Linked DNA regions of Mus musculus. The protein of the gene in region 2 interacts with the protein of the main gene of each other region in a pairwise test. Links are inferred from orthologs where the notes say so. Each region holds a gene or a part of one and is shown on either strand. Other genes may lie near its edges.

Region 1 (7,924 bases), on a different chromosome or scaffold from region 2:
CCAGAACTGCTCCTGCATTGATCATTTCTAGTTCCGTTGTACCACTTTGGATGCCTGAAACAACTTGTGGATAGAAACACGTCACAACTTCTCCCGGGATTACAACTGATTAGAGCATTATAACAGATTGACATTAGCCTCAGAGGGTTTAAGAAAGGAACATCATGAGTAAGGAATTTGTAAAATACATCCATTCAGAGAAAGCAAGGCTCCCCTCTGATGCTCTCATTTGTCTCCTTATAAGGCATAGTACATGAAGAAAAAAAATGGAATATTTTATTGAGCAAGAAATGGGAAAACTAAGAGAGACATAAATACTTAAAAAGGTGGCTGGCTGTCCACCTGCCAATCTTTCCTTTCCTCCTGTGTGCTACGTGGTTCTAGCCACTGTCACACAAATGGCTATCATTGTTGTGCTCTGTGAACATCTCTGTTTCAAGAGCTTGTGAGCCCTTCATATCTTGTTCACTGGTAAGACAGCAAACTACTTAAATCTGACCTTCTAGCTAAGCCATACTGGACACTGTTTAATCCTGCAGCAAAATCCCCCACAGTATGAACTATACCTCCGAGCTCAGGCACCATATTCTCATATGTAGAATACCTTTGTTCTCTTGCTTTGACCCTCTTCACGTCAACCTTTCTCCCAAGATGTTACCTAGTTTATCACTGAAGAAGTAAGATTTTTTTTTTTTTGCCCATTTTGAGCACTCAAAGGCAAGTTGTAGTTTTTGGTTAAAGTCCATACCTTACCTATTCATAAAGGCAGTGGTGACCTGCTCTCTTGGTTCCTACCTTGAGAATGTGGCAGCGATGACCTTATGCTCTGGACAGTAGATAACAGGCTTGGACCCATCAGGAAGACTGTCAATCATGGAAATGGCCACTCCCTTGCTGCTATTATTGCCATACTTGTTGGTCTATTAAACAAACAAACAAACAAAACCAGATAAACGGAGAGGGGAGGGGAGAAACTTTAATGCTCGGATTGGAGAAAGCCCCTCACCGTTTCCTCCTTTATGTTTCAGAGGTTCACATGGACCCCCTCCGGACATGGTGTCCTGTTGCAGACTGCCAGACCGTGTGCCATATTTCAGCCGGAGACCCAGGCCAGCCAGTGTTGGTGGAGTGCCCTTCTTGCCACCTGAAATTCTGCTCATGTTGCAAGGATGCTTGGCACGAGGAGTCTTCCTGTAGAGACAGCCAGTCGGCGATGCCAGAGCATGGGTAAGGGAGGAGGTGTGTCTGGGGCTGTTCCCAGTGTTCTTTTCAAACCCAGCATAAGCTGCTGTGAGAAGAAATTAGATGACTCTTAGACATTTACTGTAGAAATGCCTCAAGAAGAACGAGTAAGGTGGCCACAGGCACCAACCAGTACAGGATGTCTGAAAGGGATTCTAGCTCTTTATCCTAAGGGCACCTTCCAGATCATGGTGAGTCCATTCCCTTGGGGTAGAGAGGCATCAAGTTCTGTAGTTCCCATATGTATGTATGTGTGTATGTGTGTATGTATGTATGTATGTACATATATACATATATATATATATATATGTGTGTGTGTGTGTGTGTGTGTATATATATATATATATATATATTTGCTAAGAAGCCATGTTCAATGTACATGGTGTAGCCCATTCTTCCTGTTTAGAAAATAAGACGGCTGTGATCTTATCCCATTAAATGGCCTGTTCATTAGAGTATGCCGACCCCACAGAGTGCACAGACATATACACCGTCTTCCCAAATGCTTAGAAAACACAGGGAGATTCTCCCCTAATGCTTTATGCTATGAGAACTTGGCACCAGGGCTGAGATCTCGTTACAGGTGGAGAAGCAATTCAACCGCCGGGTGCCGTCTTGTATGGAAGGTTTTTATGGTGGCAGCCAGGAGCAGAGCTGGAGACCTTCGCGTTGGGTCCCATACTTTGCTGGAGGCTGTTCTGCACGAGCAAGAACAAAACAATCAGTATTCCCCCGCCAGTTGGCTTACTCACCCGGTGCCCTCAGAGCATGCAGAACTGGTCTTCAGGAACAATCACGCTGCCTGGCTATGGTGCCGTGCCTGGGTATCAGACGGAGCACAGAAAAAAAAGGAGTCTGTTCCACGCGCTGCCATGCGCCGTCCCCGTCAGATTTAAGGCAGGCCCTTCCATAGTGGTTAGCCCCAAGAGCTGGTTTAAGGGGCTCAGGAAAAGGGTAATCTGAGTTCTGATACTGTTCTTGGCATCCAAGCGGGCTCACGTAAGACATTCAGCCTCTTATGAGCCTGCATCCCCACTGGGAAAAGGGCATTAAATATTTTACTATATTGACTCTGTGTGTGTGTGTGTGTGTGTGTGTGTGTGTGTGTGTGTTTGTGTGTGTGTGTGTACATGTGTAGATAGACTGTGCTGTAAGTCATATGTAGATCTCAGAGGAAAACTTGTGAGAGTTTTTGGTTGGTTTTGTTTTGCTTTGCTTTGCTTTGCTTTGCTTTGCTTTGCTTTGCTTTGCTTTGCTTTGCTTTGCTTTGCTTTGCTTTGCTTTGCTTTGCTTTGCTTTGCTTTGCTTTGCTTTGCTTTGCTTTGCTTTGTTTTTTCCTTTCTCTACCTGGGTCCCAGGGGTTGAACTCAGATCAACAGGCTTGGCAGCAAGTCCCTTTACCTGCTGAGCCATCTCACCAGCCCAGAGGAGAATATTAAATCAGAAATAATGTCTCACTATGTAAGGATATCCCCAGCACCTCATCTGACCTAGATTTGTCCACATTTTGTAAACAGGGATGCTTCTGTGTGCTGGGTGGTGATTTTGATACCCAGTCACTGGTGTATAGTGGGGTACTCTGACTCCCTCCTATCCTGACTTGAACCACTTGGCTCTGTGTCCCTTTCTGCTGTGGTCACACACGGGCCTCTTCATCAACTTGGAGGAGGTCTTTCCAGTCATTGTTGGCATCTCTTTGAGTGTTGGATCTCTAGCTAAACCCCAGCCCTTACCCTTACTTAGCCATGCCGTCGTTACCTATACTGCATCTCATTTGGATCCTGAGCTGGCGTTTTCTCACAGTCTAGCTCCCTCTATGTACTTCTTATTTAGAGGCTGTGTGATTAGGGATGAAGTATTAATTTGGCAAAGCACTAAAAGCAGCCAGCTGTAGAAAGTGTAATTATATAATTCATTAGGAGCCAAAATAAATAAATTCCTTCTTATTGGGCTTTCTGAACAACTAATAATCCATGTCTCCCACACCTTTGGAAGTGAGTTAAACATGACAAACTGAGAGATTTCCTAACTAGCCACCCAACAGCCCTGGCCATCGCGCAGGTGACCCTGACTGAACACGTCTCATCTGTTTTGTCCTAGGGCTCTCTTTGGAACGGATGCGGACGCCCCCATCAAGCAGTGCCCGGTTTGCCGCATTTACATTGAGCGCAACGAAGGCTGCGCCCAGATGATGTGCAAGAACTGCAAGCACACATTTTGCTGGTACTGTCTGCAGAACCTGGACGTGAGTTCTCCATGGAAGGGGCTTGTCATTACCTTTGCTGTGTCTGTGCCACTGTCTGAGCCAGCCGCACAGTCCTTCCCTTTAGCAATGGGGCCTCTTACTATCCTGCAAAAGGAATTTTTTTTTTTGAGATTCCCTGAGCCCAACTTGTCCTTCCTAACCTCCCTGTCCTTCTTCTCCCCTCCCTGTTTCTCTGACCTCTGCTCACTTCCTCCTCCCCTTTGTTTTTGTTGGTTTCATGGGCCTTGGACTCAATCATTGTGAGCGCTAGTCGAGCACCTTGCTGCCGAGTCACAGCCCATCCCCGTTGCTACTTCAGACACCATGAAACCTCTGTGTGTCGTCATAGCTTTCAGACATATTTTTGTCTGAAATGTTTTTGGGACATTTTTGTGCTCTAGAGGAAATTATCTCTATTGTGTAAATAGCTGTCTAAGTGTTTGCTTTATACCGTTGTAACAAATGGTCACAAACGTTCTGGCTTAAAACAGCAGAGAATTAGTGTCTATGTCGTACCTTAGCAGCCTGATGTGATATATATATATAACTGGATCATGATCCTGACAGGGCTGGAGTGCTGCTGTCTGAAGATGCTGGATGAGAATCCATGTCTTTGCTCCTCTGTCTCCTAGAGATGGGGTTGCTTGCGTAGCTAGGCTCATCACGTCTCTCTGATCTCCTCGTGGTCCTCATTCCCGCTGACCACAGGCAGGATGCATTTCCTCTCGATAAAGAACCATGAAATGAGATGGGAGCCATTGCAACCACCAAGGGTAACCTCCCCCACGTCCAGGTCCTTCACATAGTGACATATGCAGACAGTTACTGGAGACTCCGCCACGTGTGTCTCCAAGGGGGCATTCTGCCTATTGCGATCAGAAAGGCTGTTCTGGTGGCTGGCGTGACAGGGAAGCCCTGCTGCCTTGCCACTTACTACTAGATCCTGACGCCTGTCTGTTGCTTAGTCTCCTTCTCCACCCAAGAGTGTGTCTTCCCAAATTCTGCCAAAGTGAACAGTGATCTCAGCTGTGGGACGGTGGGTAACAAGGGTGTCCTCCAGTCTCAGTCTTTTAAAGTTTGAGGTGGCACAAGCTGTTTACGGATACCCCTGTCTGAAGCTATAATGTGTGTTCATATTGGTGTAAGACCTCAGTCACGCTCGTCTTCGGTAGGGTTTCTATTGCTGTGATGGAACACCACAGACATTCGGAGAGGGAGGAAAGGGTTTATTCAGCTTACTCTCCCACATCATCAGGCGAAGTCAGGGCAGGAATTCACGAGAGACAGGGATCTGGAGCCAGGAGCTGATGCAGAAGCCATGGCAGGGCGCTGCTTACTGACTGGCTTGCTCCTCATGGCTTGCTCAGCCTGCTTTCTTATAGAATGCAGGACTGCCACCCCAACGGTGGCACCATCAAGGGCCGGTCCTTCCCATGATCAATCACTAATTAAGGAAGTACCCGCACAGGCTTACCTACTGCCAGATTCTGTATAGGCATATTCTCAGATGAGGGCATTGGCTTGTGGGGCAGTGTCACCTCGGGCTTTTCCACCTGCACCCCAGTTCCTAAATAAACACCCCAGGGGCTTATTTATGTATGAATAAAGTAAGCTTGGGCTGGCAGCTTACCAACCCATTTATTCTATTCTATGTCTGCCACACGGCTAGTTACCACTCCTCAGTGTCATACATCAGACTTCCTCAGAGTCCAGGGCAAATCTTCCTGCGCCTGACTAACTAACTCCCAGAGTTCCTATCTCTTCACTGGAAACCCCACCTTCTGCTTCCCACCTTTTGCTAGCAGGCCATCAATTTTTTGTTGACAGGTGATGCTTCCACACAGCACACAAGGGAGTCTCTCTACAGGGCCGTGTTCTATGCCACATGGTATTGATGTGTTTGTAGGAAGGTTGAGAACCTGGGACAGAGAAAGGGGGATTGTTTTTCTAAAGCCCAAGCCTGAGACAGCCCCAAACGGAGACTGAGTGTGCTGGGCATTGTGTTTGCGCCTGGCTTCATGTTCAGCCATGCAGTGTCAGAGGCCAAGATGGAGCCTCAGGGACTTGTCACCTTCAGTTGTCTTCTCTCTTCCGTGTGATCTCAACTTCTCTTGTACGCCTTTGCCATTTCGTTCTGTCTGTCGTGTGCTGTTTCCAGGTGGAGCCGGTCTCTTCTCAAGCTGACCAGTCGTCCTCTCCCTGATTACTCTCCCTCTTCTTCACAAGCCAAGCTTCCATTGAACCCAGTTGCCTCTCGCTGTTGATATCCGCCTTCCTCCAGTTAGCACTGGGCACTCAAGTGACCATGCGGCCATATCCTGACCGTATACTTCCCAATATCCCAAGATTTTGATATCTTGGCCAGCTGCCATTTCTCCTAGCTCCTCTGACCTCACCTTTCTGGCTGTCCCTCAGTGTCTTTTCCAGACTCCTTGTCTGTTCGTGTCTTCCCTGAACAAATCTGCTCCTCAGTCCACTTTTCTTCTACACAAGCTTATTCAGTTCTGTGATACTCGCCCCACCCCCATTTTATGTAAACTGATATTCAGGCCCCTCCTTCGAAGACCAGGTATAAGTAATGATCTGCCTCTGGGTGTGTTGTTTGGATGTCAAGTTCAGCACGTCCATCTTTACCCACAAGTCCATCTCTGGGTTATTTCTTTTCTTTCTCCTCAGTAGTTTTCCTATAATTCCTGTTCCTGCTTCCTCATTTAGTGTATTACTCTCTTTCTACCTCGTGACTGGCTTCCCCTGTCAGTCGCTGGCATTGGTCACACCAGGCTTGCTCCTGACTTATGGTTCTCCCATTCCATTGCACACCTCTGCCGGAGCTCACCGTCCCTTACCTGCCTGAGATGGTGGAGCAGGTCATTCCTTGTTCTTTTGCCCCTGTCAGGATTCCTAGAGGAAGTCACTGATAGCATCAGGCGAACTGCACACTTGATGCTCACCTCTCCACCCTACATTGTGTGATGACTGAAACTCCTCTCTTTGTTTTTCAGAATGACATATTCCTCAGGCACTATGACAAAGGGCCATGCAGGAATAAGCTCGGCCACTCGAGGGCATCGGTAATGTGGAACCGAACACAGGTAGGCTCCACCTTAAGGGAACGTGAGATTCATTGGACTTGGGATGGCTTTCCTTGCTTTCCCATGCCCTCCTGGGAGGTTCTGGGAGGAGGAGGAGGAGAGAGAGAACAATGGAGCTGTGGCCTGAAGTTAAGTCAAGAGCACAATTGTTGAGGGACAGAGGCACCAGAGAGCAGAACGTTAGGGTGACCAGCCAAAGAACATACCCCTGTTCTTTGCTCTTGCAAAACATGGGAGGAGTTTCCTACAAGCAGTTAGAGCATATTAAGCATCAAAGCAGAGTCTCCAATGCTGTGGGCTCCTGCAGGGCCTCAGATCCCTCAGTACATGCCATTGTGTGTTTATGTGGCAGGTTCAAAGAGAATCGTGGTTTGTTTTTTAATAGTGTTTTGTGTTTATCAAAGGCTACGCTTCCTTTGAAGAAACCAATGCTCACATCCTAACGATGATCATTATTAATGCCCCTGTGAGACTGTTGAGGAAGCCCCAATAGAGAACGAGCCAACAGCCACAGCTCAGAGTTTAGAGTTTATGGTTCAGCTTGTGTTAACATTTGGTTTGCTCTCACCCTCGATGTAGTCCTTTGTAGTTTGTGTCCAGCGATGTCATTGCTAAAATTGCCTGAGACAGTATCCTAGCCATTCACCTAACAGATTATCATAGCCTGGGTGACTGAAACAGCTGAGATGATTCATCCTTGTCCTGGCTGCTGGCAGTCTGAGGACCAGGTATCAGCGTGGGCAGGGTCTGCGAATGGGTCCTTGTGTTGGTTGCTTGTCTCAGGACTTAGAGAAGCAGGGGCATAATTTGGCTCATGGTTTGAAGGGATACAGTCTGTCCTGACCGCGAGGGCATGGCAGAGTTCATGGTGGTAGGAACTTGAGGTCGGGACTCCTCATGTCTCAGCAGAACAGGAGTCAGGGAGAGAGGATAGGATAGCATTGGTCTGCCTTTCTTCTTTTTAAAATTTTGTTATTCAGTCAGTCCAATGCCCAGCTTATGGAACATCATCACGAGTCTTCCCTCCCCAGTTAGCCCTGCCTGGAAATGTCCCCCTCCACGCAGAGGTGTGCCTCTTAGATGACTCTGAATCCAGAACAGTTGGCCGTGAAGGTTACACTCACAGCATTCTTCCCAGTTCATAGATGACAGCTTTCTCACCGTGTTCTCCCATGCTAGAAAGCTAAGAATGGAGGCAAGCTCTTGGGCTCCCAAGTGTCACCAGGGTCTCACAGTGTCACCCAGGGCTCCCCACTCCAAGTGCCATCGCACTGAGTATTAGGGTTTCGACAGGCATGGCAGGGTGGGCACAGCATCCAGACTGTAGAGGCTGTTGTTACACTTG
Region 2 (8,024 bases):
GGGGGCTGCCCCTTGTCTACCCCTCGTTGAGTGGGGTCGGTGGTTTAGATGCCCACCTGGGGCTAAAAGAACCTAGTGGGGAAACCCCCACTCAATTCCCGGTGTGCACCCAAAGAATCATGAAAAGACCATCTTGATGTAAATACATGAGGTAGTTTAATGGTGGAGCTCTGGGTTGAAACATATCTCACGCAGGAGACAGTGGATTTGACTACGTGGCTGGGGTTTTTTATAGAAAAGGGTCTGGGTCTGGGGGAGGCACGGTTTCACATGATTGGTTCATTTAAACATCGGCAGACTGTACACACAGATTGAGATAACAGCAGAGCATCTGGTTATCATTTAACTCAGGTCAGAAGGGCGGGAGATAGGGAGGCGCCAGGCCAGTCCGGACATTCTTGTATGTCTTCCCTATCTTTATGGCTAGTTGGTTCCTGGGATGACTTTACAGCCTTTGTTCTTTGCTCTAGGCCCAAAAAGCCCTCCTATCTAGCAAGCCACATGAGTCATGGACCTTGAATAAACTTTCTGGCTAGGGTTTTGAAATCTTGAATTTAGTTTTCTTTCTTTCAGGGCCAAGTGGAAAGCATCTGGCTGCCCTCCTGCGTCCTCCTCCTCAGAGCATAGGAGGAACTCTGGCCAGGCATGGGCTATCCTCCCTCTCCCCTCTTTTCCCTGTCCCCCTTTTAGTTCCCACAGTGCCACACACCTTTAATCCCACCACTTGGTAGGCAGAGGCAGGCAGATCTCTGAGTTCTAGGTCAGCCTGGTTCACCAACAAGTTCCAGGCCAGTCAGGACTACATACTCAAAGAACTACACACCTCAACGCTAAAGGTAGACTGGCTTTTGTTGCTCCGGAATCATTCTCATTTTGAGAAGGTGGTGGTGGTTTGAAAAACAGTCACATATTCAAGGCAACTCTGGGGACAATGAATAGATACAAACTAGTGGTTCTGATCCAGGGATGTGTTTACCTATCAGGACGCCTTTGCCAATATCTAGAAACGTTTTCTATTGTCACAGATGGGGTGAGTGCTGCCACAACCCAGCGGGTAAAGTCCACGCTGATGAAACATCCTAGCTACAGAGAATGATCAGGTCCCAAATGTCAACAGAGAGAAAGTTGAGAAAGGCCTGTGTACACGCAGGTAGAAAGTTCCCCTAAGCCAGGGGCTTGGGAGTGGGGTCCTTCACTGCTGTGCATCATCTGTACTCTGTCCCCCAAGTATATAAGCACCCCACACTCCCTTTCATCACTAAACCCATCTTCCATATGTAATCACACTAACAAATGGCTTCTCATGCCTTCTACCTACAGCCATGACCATTCATTGCCTATTCTATCTTACCACAAGCATAACCCATGCCATAGCTTGGGCAAGAACAAAGGCTTAGGTATAACACAGATCTTGAATGGACATTTTTCTGGGCTGAAGATGCAGCTCAGTTGGTAGAGTGTTTGTCTAGCGTGCACAAAACCCTGGGTTCAATCCTCAGCACTGCACAACACTTGATAAAGCAGTGCACATCCATGATCCCATGTCTTAGGGTATGAGACGGAGGCATAAGAATCCTGAAATTAAAGGTTCAGCTGGTGAGATGGCTCAGTGGGGAGGTGCACTTGTTGATCTTCCAGAGGACCAGAGGACTTGGGTTCAATTCCCAGCACCCACATGGTGACTGATGACTGTCTCTAGCCCCAGTTCCAGAAGATCTAATGCTCTCATTTGCTTCTGCTAGGCATGCAGGTAGTTAACAGATATATATGCAGGCAGGAATCCATACACATAAAATTAAATTAAATGATTTTTAAAAAATTAAAGGCCATTGTTAGCTGCATATCAAGTTTAAGACCAATCTGAACAACACAAAATGGTATTTAAAAAAAAAATACTGGGGCTGGAGAGATGGCTCAATTGTTAAGAGCACTGACTGCTCTTCCAGAGGTCCTAAGTTCAATTCCCAGCAACCACATGGTGGCTCACAACCATCTGTAATGAGATCTGGTGCCCTCTTCTGGTGTGTCTGAAGATAGCTACAATTTATTCATATATAGAAAATAAATAAATAAATAAATAAATAAGTAAAAAATACTGAAGGGAAATTTTCTCTCTGTGTTTCAACTGCTTGAGAGCCCCTCAGAGGACAAACACCACAATTTCTCCATCTGATGTGTTCCATCGATAGTACCTGGCACTTGGTGTTAACTAAGACTACTAACCAGAAATGGGTTCAAATGCCCTTATCTCCAAACTATATTTAGGGATTGCTGATGGTGTCCTGCTTATTGCTGGCATTTAGAAGGTATCTGGTTAAAGTTATTGAACTGAAAAAAGAACCCAGAATCTTTTTTTCTTTTTCAAGATTTACTTTATTTACTATATGTAAGTACACTGTAGCTGTCTTCAGACACACCAGAAGAGGGCGTCAGATCTCATTTCAGATGGTTGTGAGCCACCATGTGGTTACTGGGATTTGAATTCAGTACCTCTGTAATAGCAGTCAATGCTCTTAACTGCTGAGCCATCTCTCCAGCCCCAGAATCATTTTTCAAGCACATCCTATATGTAAGCAGAGCAGATATTTGGTTCCTGGACAGGAAAATAAAAATCATGTGACCTACTGGGTCAAAATCTTGGGCTTCAAAATATGCTAATTTCTGGGCTGGAATGGGTGAGGCAGGTAGGTGGATTCCCTTCTAACTCTAGAACTTCTTCCAGAGGCTGGGGGCTGCTATTACACCTTGGCCTCGACTTGAGCTGGGATGAGGGGGGTCTTTACTCTTGCGCAGAGGGCTAGAGACTTCTTGGCTGTTCATTTGGACACACAGTAGTTCCATAGTTTGTAATCAGTTGGTGATAAAATATAATAGGCTCCTGAAATCTATCTCGAGGCTTCAGCCACCCATCGTTTTCCCAAATTGCCACACAGCAGACACTTTCTATGTGTTCAGTAGAGTAAAACACAGAACGCCCAAAATAAAAGCGAATGAGTCCAACAGCGTCCTCTAGTGGTGCTCGGGCACCAAGCAACCTAAAAGAAGCATCGCTGCGTTTCTGCCCATCTGCTGGACTGTACCACTCAGGGAGCGGTCCTCGGAGGACATAAAGTCTATACTGACCCCCCCCCCCCCACTCTCTTTTAGAACGGAGCACTGAACCCACAAAGGCAAAGTGACTTGGCCCAGGATTCTGAGACTTTCTTTAGAGGTGGTAGGTTCACAATTCCATTGCGGAGGTCGCAGAGAGCCCTGCCCCGGAGCTACTTTGCATCAAGAGTATCTCATCTGTGCTTTGGGCGAGTTTGCTCTCAGCGTCCGGGGAGCTGACAGAGGCTGGAGATGAATCCCATCCTGGCTTCTACGAGATGTACCCCGCAAGATGCAGGAACCAAGAGGAGCAGTGCGCTCCACCGACGTAGTCTCTGATCTGCAAGGAGCATGAGTTGCTGAGATACGAGATCGCCAAGCTGGGCACTCGACTGCAGCCTCCAGATATCCACCAAAGGGGTGGGGAGCAGGTCTTTGCAGCTAGAGTCGGTGTGGGTGGAGTGGAGCGTGGGCGGGGCTCGGGAGCTGCAGTTCAGAGAGCGGTGTCCTGCTGGAATCTGCTGGTGCCCCACGCTCCAACCCGAGATGATGGCCAGCAAGCGAGTGGCGAAAGTAAGCCTATGTAGGATGACCCTTTCCTTGTGCCCCTTCCCGCCCTGCCCTAACCTTTCCGCCCTGCCCTAACCCTCCCCTGCCCCCTTGCTCTCTGAGCTTTTTTTGTTATTTGGGTACCAGGGCTGGCTGAAACTCAGGTATCCTCACCTTTTCCCAATGGAGAAATGGGAGGAGAAAGGCGCGGTGTGTGTGTGTGTGTGTGTGTGTGTGTGTGTGTGCGCGCGCGCGCGCGCGAGAAGGAGGGAGAAAGAGAGGAGGAAGGGAGGGGGCCTGATTGAGAAGGTCTGGAAAAAAAAGTTGTCATCAGCTTCAAAAAAAGTTGTCATCAGCTGTACTGGCCACGAGAATGAACTGGTCTTTCCAAATGGTTTCCAATGTATTGGGCTTTCCAAACTGGTTTCATTTTCAATTTCTGCTGGAAATTTATTAGTGGAACTTATCTAAGGCACAGGAAGGGCTCTGTTGCTCCGCCTAGTGGATACACCCATAATTTGATACCTACATTACCCGAGGCCACAGAAGAGTGATGTTGGGCGGTGGGGTGGTGAATGGACAGACCGTGAAATAAAACGTACAGACTAGTTCCTGGATGAGAAGTAACAATTTATGCTCTGAGTAGGTTATTTGTATGCAGTCCTGCTCCAGCTACTAAACGCCTACTTTGTACTAGCCCAGTGCCAGGCAGCAGGAGCAGAAAAGGAACAGAAATCTTGTTCCGTTTGAACGTTCATTTCTATGAGACACTATTTGGTACTATCTGAAAGAATGAAAAAAGGGCAGTTTCCTTAGGAATGTCTAGACCGCTGAATGGAGCCAGGATTAGAGATCGTGGAGGAGAAATGCTCGTGAGCCAGGGCTGGTACCGCTAGGCTTTGAGTCTCCCCGAAGTGCTCCTCTAGTCTGCAGAATTGAGGGGAAGGCTTCCTCAGGAGACAGAAGGGATGGTTGCTGGCCTCATGTTTCTCTCTCTCTCTCTCTCTCTCTCTCTCTCTCTCTCTCTCTCTCTCTCTCTCTCCCTTTCTTTCTTTCTTTCTTTCTTTCTTTCTTTCTTTCTTTCTTTCTTTCTTTCTTTCTTTCTTTCTTTCCTTCTTTCTTTCCGAGACAGGGTTTCCCTGGCTGTCCTGGAACTCACTTTGTAGACCAGGCTGGCCTCGAACTCAGAAATCCGCCTGCCTCTGCCTCCCCAGTGCTGGGATTAAAGGCGTGTGCCACCCAGCTGGCCTCATCTTTCAAAAAGAAAATTCTTTTGAGATGGAGAAGTCCAGAGCAGACCCAAAACAGAACTAAACTTTGTTGGTTTTAGGCTGGTACTAAATGGGGCAAAGGGTAATTTGCTACCTCAACGCTAAAAGGTAGACTGGCTTTTGTTGCTCCGGAATTGTCAGCACCAGGCAGTTTGTTTTATTTAACTCTTAGAACAACTGTGAGATAACTGTGTCTTCCCATTTCATGGAAGAGGAAACTGAGACATCAGGGAGAGTAACGTGGCTGGCCAGTGATATTCTGCAGAAGTAATGGGGCTGGAATTTGAGCCCAGACTGATAAGAGTCTAACTCACAGGGCTTTTCCTGCCTGTTTGCCTTCACTTTCATTTCTCCTAAGTCAGGTGACTTACTAGCTGGCTTTGGGAGGAGCTGTGTGCACTGGTGTGGGTTTCAGCAATCATGGAAAGTTCGTCAGAATTCATCAAAACACAGAAAATTCAAGTGTTAAGAGAGAAAATTTCCCTTCGGTACTTTTTTTTAATACCATTTTGTGTTGTTCAGATTGGTCTTAAACTTGATATGCAGCTAACAATGGCCTTTAATTTTTAAAAAATCATTTAATTTAATTTTATGTGTATGGATGTCCTGCCTGCATATATATCTGTTAACTACCTGCATGCCTAGCAGAAGCAAATGAGAGCATTAGATCTTCTGGAACTGGGGCTAGAGACAGTCATCAGTCACCATGTGGGTGCTGGGAATTGAACCCAAGTCCTCTGGAAGATCAACAAGTGCACCTCCCCACTGAGCCATCTCACCAGCTTAATTTCAGGATTCTTATGCCTCCATCTCATTCCCTAAGACATGGGATCATGGATGTGCACTGCTTTATCAAGTGTTGTACAGTGCTGAGGATTGAACCCAGGGTTTTGTGCACGCTAGACAAACACTCTACCAACTGAGCTGCATCTTCAGCCCAGAAAAATGTCCATTCAAGATCTATGTTATACCTAAGCCTTTGTTCTTGCCCAAGCTATGGCATGGGTTATGCTTGTGGTAAGATAGAATAGGCAATGAATGGTCATGGCTGTAGGTAGAAGGCATGAGAAGCCATTTGTTAGTGTGATTACATATGGAAGATGGGTTTAGTGATGAATGGGAGTGTGGCGTGCTTATATACTTGGGGGTCAGAGTACAGATGATGCACAGCAGTGAAGGACCCCACCCCCAAGCCCCTGGCTTAGGGGAACTTTCTACCTGCATGTACACAGGCCTTTCTCAACTTTCTCTCTGTTGACATTTGGGACCAGATCATTCTCTGTAGCTAGGATGTTTCATCAGCGTGGACTTTACCCGCTGGGTTGTGGCAGCACTCACCCCATCTGTGACAATAGAAAACGTTTCTAGATATTGGCAAAGGCGTCCTGATAGGTAAACACATCCCTGGATCAGAACCACTAGTTTGTATCTATTCATTGTCCCCAGCGTTGCCTTGAATATGTGACTGTTTTTCAAACCACCACCCCCTTCTCAAAATGAGAAGAACTGGAGTCCTGTGGGTGAGGTCCCTTGGTCAGATGCACCATGGTATAATGGGGACCCTGAGTGTGCTGGGAGTGTGGTGTAGGGCACCACCTATCTTGCTCAAGGTCCTTGGTCCCATCTCCACTACTGCAATAACCAAACCAAACCAAACCAAACCAAACCCAAAACCTTTGAGTTGCTCTGCAGTGAAGAAGCCATTTAACTCAGCTTTCCCAAATGTTCTTAGCCATAAAGCCCTTTTCCTATAGTAGCTATTAGTGTTCCATGGGGACCTGCACATGCTTGTCCTGTCTGGGCTCTCTGTCTTTGCTCCCTGTTTTTCTGCCTGGTGGGCTCCTACCTACTCTTCAAGAGCCATCTCTGAGCACAGCACACAGTCTCTGTGGAGTGTTCCCACTCTCCTCCTTCCTGGTTATGTGCCATTCACACTATTCATGGCCTTGGATTCGTTCCCTCCATTACTCCAAAGGCGTTCTTGAGGCTGCACTCTGTCTTAGTCAAGGGTCAGCCAGCGATGTTCAGTAGACTGCTCTTGAGAGAACTCAGGGATCTCTGGTGATTAAGCCACATTTCTGAGAAGGTGTGTCACTTCTCGTCCCCTAGTTACCATGGGTGATGTGCAGTTTCTCACCTGGGAAGCCTGGATCACCCTAAGGTGGTGGTGATGATGGATGCGTGATGTCTCTGCCGTTCATTCTGCCAGTGCTGAAAACTCACATATTACTGAAGAGAGAGGGATGAAGTAGGACTCAGTGAGTTTTCTAGAGAAAGGGCAAGAGGACTGAGTACCTTGCCTTCAGAAAGAAGGCTCCTAGAAGAATTTACTTACCCCCGGAGTTCTTAATATTTGAGAGAATATTTGAGGCCACCCAATCCTTACACTGGGGCCTACAGGGTTGTGGTGAGGCTGAAATCAGGTCATTCATTCATCGCTCAGTACTGGGTCTCACACCAGCTAAGCGCTCCCTAAGTTGGGTCTCTGTCTTTTCTTTTTCTGCTCCTAGGATCTCCTGTTTGGGCTCGAGGTGGGGCTGCTGCGGTGGGGCTGCATTTGTGAGCACTTGGCTTACTACCCTTGCTGTGATCCCTACAGGAGCTGGAGAGTCTTTCGAAGGAGCTGCCGCCATACCTTCGCCAACTGTCTAGTGACGATGCCAATGTGCTTGTGTGGCACATGCTCCTGCTGCCAGTGAGTGTCCCTGGGGACCCGTTGGAGACTTAGGTTAGCATAGGCAGGGAGGGTCAGGGCTAGGATCTCGTCCTGGGGGTTGTGGTGTGTGGAGGAGTCTCTGCCTGTACACCAATGGCTTCTAAGTCCAGTCAGACTAATGAACACAACAGAGCCTTTAGATGTAAGAGGACACCCTCCTTCAGACCTGTAGCTACCAAGCCTGCCACAGAAGATTCAGCAGAAAAACAGAATCAAAGCCAGGGGCGGCCAGGTGGTGGACGTGAGGACCTGAGCTCAGCCCTCAGCAGCCATGTAAGGAGTTGTAGGAGCTTTTACAGTCCCTTTTACAGATAAGGATGTAAAAAACTAGGAAGTTAAGGAACAAGCGCTTACACAGAATAAGGTGACAAGGCAGGAGGTCAGCTGCCTCCAAAATT

Evidence for each region.
Region 1: the proteins of Ube2l6 (region 2) and Rnf144b interact in binary tests that used the Homo sapiens proteins (3 or more experiments, as listed by UniProt). The link is inferred for Mus musculus from reciprocal best matches to the Homo sapiens genes UBE2L6 and RNF144B.

Annotation. Positions count from the first base shown.
Region 1 is NC_000079.6:47,236,375-47,244,298, forward strand, and holds part of Rnf144b (E3 ubiquitin-protein ligase RNF144B), read left to right. Parts: exon of another isoform or gene 1-920; intron 921-1,006; exon of another isoform or gene 1,007-1,028; coding exon 1,029-1,227; intron 1,228-3,342; coding exon 3,343-3,487; intron 3,488-6,489; coding exon 6,490-6,579; intron 6,580-7,924.
Region 2 is NC_000068.7:84,795,270-84,803,293, forward strand, and holds the start of Ube2l6 (ubiquitin/ISG15-conjugating enzyme E2 L6), read left to right. Parts: upstream 1-3,558; 5' UTR 3,559-3,636; coding exon 3,637-3,663; intron 3,664-7,509; coding exon 7,510-7,605; intron 7,606-8,024. UniProt on the Homo sapiens protein: Catalyzes the covalent attachment of ubiquitin or ISG15 to other proteins. Functions in the E6/E6-AP-induced ubiquitination of p53/TP53. Promotes ubiquitination and subsequent proteasomal degradation of FLT3.